2 linked regions of the Drosophila melanogaster genome follow. The protein of the gene in region 1 interacts with the protein of each later gene in a pairwise test. Each region holds a gene or a part of one and is shown on either strand. Other genes may lie near its edges. The genes, in order: EMC2A and EMC8-9.

Evidence for each region.
Region 2: the proteins of EMC2A (region 1) and EMC8-9 interact in a two-hybrid assay, tested with the Drosophila melanogaster proteins (2 studies listed by BioGRID).

The regions. Positions count from the first base shown.
Region 1 is NT_033777.3:16,993,962-16,997,886, reverse strand, and holds EMC2A (ER membrane protein complex subunit 2A), read left to right. Parts: upstream 1-1,815; 5' UTR 1,816-1,927; coding exon 1,928-1,961; intron 1,962-2,073; coding exon 2,074-2,482; intron 2,483-2,608; coding exon 2,609-2,765; intron 2,766-2,827; coding exon 2,828-3,076; 3' UTR 3,077-3,345; downstream 3,346-3,925. Other genes in the region: CG3534 (uncharacterized protein), read right to left, coding at 1-422, 713-834, 1,239-1,298; CG31274 (uncharacterized protein), read right to left, coding at 3,790-3,925.
Region 2 is NT_033778.4:22,880,795-22,884,719, forward strand, and holds EMC8-9 (ER membrane protein complex subunit 8/9), read right to left. Parts: upstream 1,897-3,925; 5' UTR 1,806-1,896; coding exon 1,608-1,805; intron 1,127-1,607; coding exon 713-1,126; 3' UTR 528-712; downstream 1-527. Other genes in the region: YME1L (YME1 like ATPase), read right to left, coding at 2,368-3,031, 3,107-3,497, 3,554-3,870. UniProt on the Drosophila melanogaster protein: Part of the endoplasmic reticulum membrane protein complex (EMC) that enables the energy-independent insertion into endoplasmic reticulum membranes of newly synthesized multi-pass membrane proteins like rhodopsins.

The sequences.
Region 1 (3,925 bases):
TAAAACTGCTGACCAATGAGATTCGGTTGGCCTCTTCGTAGGCGTGGCAGCGTTGCTGATATATCTTTCTAATTTGGGGACCCGTAAAACGTTCGTAGCACTTCGAGCCCGTCAGTTCCACCATGTTAAGTTTGCCACCAACAGCCATCTCCATCTCTAGGCACTGTTTGGTGGTGGTGGCGTCCATCCAAATCGGAGTACGATTTACCACAAAGGCGGAGTCGTCGATTTGTGCGTGAAGGAACTTCTCGGAATCGAGGTTTTGCAGCGTGTTGATTCCATGTTTGGACCAGTAGAGCGATCCGTGCTGCTGTCCGGAGCCACTGATGGCAGCTACGGTGCTAAGATCCGCTTGCTGCATAACCAGTCGGTCCAGGACAATGTCCATGGCCTTCACCCACATCACTGGTTGTACAAAGTATCTAAAGAAGAACAAGTAAAGGTGGAGTCAGGTTAGCACATATATATTTTATAGTACCCATTGTATATATGGTCCCTGTTATAGGAAGGTTAAAAAAAACTTGAAGTGATAGAGACCCATTGTGGTGTAATAAAACAACTGCTATGAAATAGGGCCCTAAGTATTATCGGACAAATACCCCACAGCGCAAGATATAAAAACGTAAAATATATCCCCCTATTTGCTTTACGCAAACAATCATCCCATTAAAATCTTCAATTGGAGTAATGGATAGTGGTGAAACAGACTCACTCATTTTTGATGGATCCAGCGTTGGCTCCACCGGTGGTCCGGAACTCCGGCAAGTCGGTGTCGAATTTCACTTCAGCCGCGGCAACCACCTCCAAACTGGAGCCCAGCAGGACGGCTTTGAGCTGAGAGGAGTAAATGGGGCAGCAATTAGCGATATGGAGACACACCTCGAAAATAACGATCAAACATAGAGGGCAACTAGGAGTCACCGCCAGCGTCATTCAGGGATTGTGAAAGTTATTGCGGCTCTATTAAGATAATGTCGGGGGCCAATACCTCCGAACATGAATTTCAATAATCAAACCATAATAGTTAAATCGGTTGGCGCTCGCGTCTTTAGCAGATAAGCGAAAATCGAGCCCCGGTCACCGCAACTGATAAGAGTAGTTCGTGTTTCAAGTTCCCGAGTACCGTTTGACCTTTTCCAGTAACACCATTCGCACGCAATTGGCCCAGATGTAGTCGATTTGGAGACGCCTCCACATCTCAGATGCAAAGATACTACGTAGGCAGTTCCAGTTCTCACCTTTTGCGTGCTCAAGTCGAAGCCAAGAAAGGTTCGTTTCAGCTGCTTTGGCGGACCCATGTTCAAACTGCTTCCGGATCTGTTGGGAGTTGGGGAAATTAAACACAGCACCGCATGCGGCACTGCCCGATTCCACGGCTTTAATACCCGGAGAGCACGAGAGACTTGGCTTTTGTTGACGGTACCACAATTATTTGATTTGTTAGTGTGACCGTCGCTGGAAGAAAAACTATCATGTTTCATGTTTTCGTTGGCGCGCTTTTCAAATGTGCACTTGACTTAGAAATCTGTTAAAATGGATAAGCAATGCACAAAGTTTGGACAAAATAAGATTAATGCATGGTAAAATAATTCATTAAAGAATCCTTTTCAAGGACCTACAAGTATTTCAGAAGTATTAACAGTTTAATTAACTTTGCAAATATCGGAAACAAGGTATATGTAGAAAAACTTAACTTTAGAAGTCTCTTTATAATAAAAAGTTTTAAAAAATTACCTCTGACTTCATTTCTAGACTTTACGATATTCAAAAAGCAGGTTGGCAGCGCCACGCTAGTGTTATTTGGTATAATCTAACGGCTCATTACGCTGCCACACTTTTATTTTGCCAAGAAGGAAATCGCTAGTTAATGATTACAATTGGGAAATTAAATTAAATTGATGAGATATTTAAGTCCGCCTAAGTGAATATGTCGCTAGATTATGAGAAGATGAGCTGGTCGGGTAAGTTTTCGGCTTTTCCCGGCTCCAGACAGGTGCAGACCACGTCAGTGGGTTGCTCCCAATTGCCATGAATGAAAAGTGCCGTATCATAAGCGTATGATCATCCTTTCAGATGTACGGGATCAGTTCAGAACGTGGCGCGAGGAGACGGGTCGCCACAGCGAGGAGGTGGTCCAGCTGTGGGTTGCTGTGCTAGAGGACAAGGTGCACAAGACCGGCAACGAGCGGCATCTCATCCTGGAGCAGGTGATCATCGCGGCATTGGATACGGCTCGCTTTGACATCGCCACCAAGTGTACCAAGCAGCTGTCCCTCGAGTTCCCGGGCAGCCTGCGCGTGATGAAGTTCAAAGCGATGCGCTACGAGGCCCTGGAGCAGTACGATGAGGCCGACGAGGTCCTGGATGCAATCATTGCTAAGGACGAGACAAATGCCGCGCCCAGGAAGCGCAAGATTGCCATCCTTAAGGCCCGTGGTCGTCGCCTGGAGGCCATCAAGGAGCTCAACGAGTATCTGAAGAAGTAAGAAAGCTAAGTTCATGGTGTTTTTGGAAGAACGGAACCAAATTAGTTTCCGGCATCCGGTTGCTAGACAACTACTTATCTTACCATGTACGATAATCTCATAACTATTTAATATTCCTTCAGGTTTATGTCTGACCAGGAGGCATGGCATGAGCTGTGCAACATGTATCTGGCTGAAGGCGAGTTTGGCAAAGCTGCCTTCTGCATGGAGGAGGTTTTGCTGCACAATCCGCATAGCCATCTAATACACCAGCGTTTGGCAGAAATACGATACACAATGGTGAGCTATATAAGCCCACTAACCAGTAATGAAGTCCATCTTATGAATTAATTTTCTTTCAGGGTGGCGTCGAGAATATGGAATCGGCTCGCACTTACTATTCGCAGGCCCTGAAGCTTAATCCGCATAACTTGAGGGCCCTTTATGGCATTTACTTGTGCTGCAACCATTTGGACAACTCTCGTGCTGTGAGCTCCAAACGGAAGGAGCTGCAAAAGTTGAGTCAATGGGCCCTCGAACAACTTTTGACTAAACAAACGATTGTACCCTTGGAGGCTGCCTTTGGAAACCTGGAAATTAAATCGAATTGACCAATATAAGCACTAATAATTTGTGCAATAGATGCCAGAATGTAATGGTTCCAAATATTCTCAGAAGTGGGTTTCCAGTTTCTGTTCTTTAAGCAGGTTACATAGATAAACAATTAAAGAAATAGGAGTAAAAACAATTTTATAGTCAGTGCATCCAAGCAACTGTTTTTGGTGGTCTAGTATTGTTGACGGCATTGAAACCGGATAATTTAAAACATTTATTATTGAGGTAGGCAAAAATAGTCCTGTAATAAATTTAGATTAAACGCAATGAACTGCTTTGAATCATACTTTTAATCTTTGGCCTCAAGTTTTAAGCAATATTAACTCGTGCCCATGTGCTTACATCCGTAAAATTAATCGGGCACTGAACGACATTCAGAATAAGTCGAAGAACATTTATTCTGAAGATGGTGCCTATTGTATACTTGACTATTCGCTGAGGTCATTGACTCTTATTATTGTAAAAATTGCTTTAATGCACTAGATTAATTCTCACTAGGTTTGTGCGTGTCCATCGTCATACAATTGCAAATTTATATACGTACATGGCAATAACCATATGCATATTTACTTGCATAGCACTGTAGGTGCAATCGACGACTGCAGGGCAGCGAGGGCAGCGCTGATAATCCAGCGGACGGTTAAAAATAGTCCAACAATGGGACAGAATGCAATCAGTGGAATACCCCTCCCTCCTTCGGCATATTACTTCAGTTTGTGGAGGAGCCGTTGCCAAACATCCGTCCGCTGTGCGATTTTCTGGAATACTTTGGACGGATGATGTCCTTGAAAGTGAATGCGGATGCGAGTGGAGGCTTTTCCGAATTGCTCGTGGAGTCCGGACCC
Region 2 (3,925 bases), on another chromosome or scaffold:
AGCATACTCCTTATACACAGAACTACAGAAGCATATAGCATATAACTGGCAAATCAAATACGAGTAAGGTGCTCAGGATGGCATCCCGTTGGTGATCAGAGATCCGTGATCAGTGATTCGTAGTCCCGGTCCCCTATACGTTTAGTGTACGGTGTAAAGAGTTCGTTATGCGTTCGATCAGATAATATGAAAATATACAATACACTGAAATTATATAAATAAACGTTTTTGCGATACTTTCGATCTCCGATATATCCACATAAGTACGTATTATGTATACCTATGTATAATCAGCAATCGCGATATTACAATATTATTGTAAAATATTTCAATTTACAAGCCAGACAAACCAAAAGCAAAATTATATACATATTATTCATCTGTATTTATTAACGATAATTGTAACGCGCTTAGGTTTACTCAACACAATAAACAGAACAGAACCGGACCGGACCGGACTTAAAAAGGATATTACAATAGGTGCACCAACAGACGGACTCGGACTGCAGACAACATTTGACTCAAAACATGATGAAAGAATTGATTATTTATTAATTAGTTGAATGTTATTTAACTTATATGCATTATTCTAAAGATTACTGAAATCCAAATGTAATTACAATAAATTAAATTGCAAGGTTGAAATTCCGGCATGTTCCCTCGAATGCGATTTTGCTAGACTAAAAAAAAAACGTACGTTTGAAACGGACGACTAGTACAGTTTCTGCAGATCGTTGAGCGGCTGATTCAGGAAGTCGTTGGTCCAGTTTTTGTCCGGATTATCTAGATGGTTGTCAAAGTCAACCAAATCCCGCATGGCTCCGCGCTTCAGCAGCAGCGACACGCCTTCCAATGTATCGGACGCCTGTGAGAGCGTAAACTTGGCCTTTGACCACCTTGCTCCAGAGTCTCCGGGACAGTTGAATACCTGGATGGCGGCTCGGTCGTGCTGCAGCGTCATCAGTTTGTTGTCCACCACCACAAAGCAGGCGTTCTTGAAGTTCTCCTGGATCTTGTCAGCTATCTTGGCGGCTGGGGTCTTGTCGACCTGGTTGTCGTAGAAGTTCTCCGGTGCTGCGTAGTAGCCTGCGATTACTAATCCTTCCCGTTCGGCGTGGGCATCGATCTGAAAGTGTAAGGTAATGTATTATTATCGTTATTTTATAAAATGTTTTAATTTAAACAATGGTACAACCTTATCGGCTTTTAAATTTAATTCAGTCTTCACAACTTCAATGCTTTAAGACTGCTAGTTTAATTTGGGTAATAAACTTCTAACAGGGTAAAAGTGGTGTGACACTAGTTTTTGAATTTGATATGCTAATATTAAAATACCATCGTGGGGTACAAGGTACATTTTACTAAATAAAGATCGCTTGGAACATAAACCTTTCTGTTCTAAGCACAACACTGGATAACTATGCAGCCGCAATAAGTTAGAATAGTTATATATCTTTTGGATAGCGGAGTGTTTGGCCAGGGTGCGAGGATCTAGATACAAATTGAAGCCATAATAGTTCCATTATGGGGCGCACCACATTGCTGTCCGGACACAAATGCACCGAGCCCCTCGTGATGTGAGTTTAGGAAGGGCAATTGGTAATTACCAGCATGAGGGCCACCTCCGCCATGGGGGTGACATACAGGCACTGGTGGAAAAGCGGAATCGCATCCACGATTTCCACTTGGGAGCCCTTCGATGTCTTCTCGGCCAGCAAGAGTCCGTTGACCGCCTGGTGTGGATACTTGGCCGCGTGGAATATCAACTTGGCGTACGCCCGCTCCGAGACCTTGTAGTCGCACATTTTCTCAGAATATTATCTCAATTTATTCGGCAAAAAATAAAACATGAATTGGAAATTCGACAGCTAGAAAGTGTGACCGCGACGCAGCTGTTCAAATATACCGCAAACGTCAAATATACAATGAAAAATACTAAAATGGATGAGCATGGAATGGATTCCACAAAAAATGTGATCAAAACTATATTTGTTAATTATGTCTTTAACATTGAAAATATATTTATAACTTAAGTTCTAGAAAATGGTTTCTAACATAGGTTGCAGTAGTCTGGTCACATCGATATGGGCGCGCAAACAATATGTGGATTCCACTTCAAATTAATTTATTACTCAAACTAATATTTAATTCTAACGTGAATGATGGAAAACATAACTGAATATGTGTAACATTTTATTTCTTAACTGTCCGTCTGCGTCTCGCTCTTGCTTGGTTTTTTTCTCCGGTTTTTTATATATGTATATTGTAACTAAAAATATTTAGCAGTTCAGCTGAATGTCCGGTGGCAGACCAACCCGGCCTTCCAATTGGATCCTTGAACACCATCAAACCACACCGATGGGGGAACTACGTCTGGCTTTCATTCAGTATTGCCTTGATGTCGTCGGCGTCAAGAGTCTCGTACTTGAGAAGCGCCTCCGCAAGCGCTTTGTGCTCCCTGGTGTGTTTTCGCAGGATAGCCTTCGCCCGCTCGTAGCTGTCGCTGAGGATGCGCTTGATCTCCGCGTCCACGGCTTCAATGGTGTTGGGACCAAGGGTGTCACCGGTGCCCAGACCCTTTGACGCCTCGATGGTGCGAAGACCGACCTTGTCCGACATGCCCCAGTCCCTGACCATATGCGTCGCGATCGAGGTTGCCTGCTTGAGATCACTGCTGGCTCCCGACGTAATCTTGTCCGTGCCGAAGACCAGTTCCTCAGCAGCACGACCGCCCATCATGGTGTCCATCATGGCCAGCAGCTGTGCCTTTGTGACATGGTAACGCTCCTTCTCCGGTATGTAGGCGGTGTGTCCAAGGGAGGGTCCGCGGGGCATGATGGTCACCTTGTGCAGCGGATGCGACTCCTTGGTGTAGAAGGCCACAATCGCGTGGCCGCCCTCGTGGTAAGCGGTTATGGTGTTGGCCTCCTCGTCCGGTAGACGAGCCTTGCGCTCGGGTCCCATAAGTACTTTGTCTCGTGCCGTTTCCAAATGCTTCATGCTGACCGTTTCGGCTCCATCGATGGCAGCTCTGCCAAAATGTTAGAATTATTAGTACCGCTCTTCAAAATTGTGATTGAATAATACAACACAAGTTATTCCTTACCTTAACGCCGCTTGGTTAATCATGTTTTCCAGATCCGCTCCAGTAAAACCAGAGGTGCCGCGCGCCAGCATGTCCAAGTCTATTTCATCGTGCAAAATCTTCGTCAGATACAGAGACAATATCTCCTTACGTCCAGTGAAATCGGGCGTCGACACCATGACTTCTACATCAAATCGGCCGGGACGCAGCAGAGCCTGATCCAAATCGTCGCGACGATTGGTGGCTCCCAAAACAATGACGCCAGCGTTCTGATGGAAGCCATCCATCTCGGAGAGCAGCTGATTGATGGTCTGATTGGCGTAAGGATGCAGCACAGAGTTGGTTCGCTTGGCGCCCACCGAGTCGATTTCGTCAATGAAGATAACACAAGGGGCACGGGCCTTTGCTGCCTCTGCAAGATGATGTTCTTGTTTAGTTGAGCACTTTGGATAATTGAAATCTACTTACTGAACAGATCACGCACTCGTCTGGCTCCTTGGCCTACGAGCACCTCGTCGAACTCCGGTCCGGCAGCATGGAAGAAAGGAACTTTGGCTTCACCGGCGACGGCACGGGCCAGCAGTGTTTTGCCAGTACCCGGCGGGCCAACCAGGAGCACTCCCTTTGGAAGCTTTCCGCCCAAATTTGAGAACTTTTCCGGACTCTTCAGGAATTCAACGACCTCCTTGAGCTCCTGCTTGGCTTCGTCGCAACCCTTGACATCCTCAAAAGTGACGTTGATCTCCTCAGGGTCCACTTCAACCTGGTTGCCCAGTTGTATGCTGCTGAAAGAAAGGCATATCAGATGGGTAAAGCAAAACTAATAACGTGGAGGCTCAC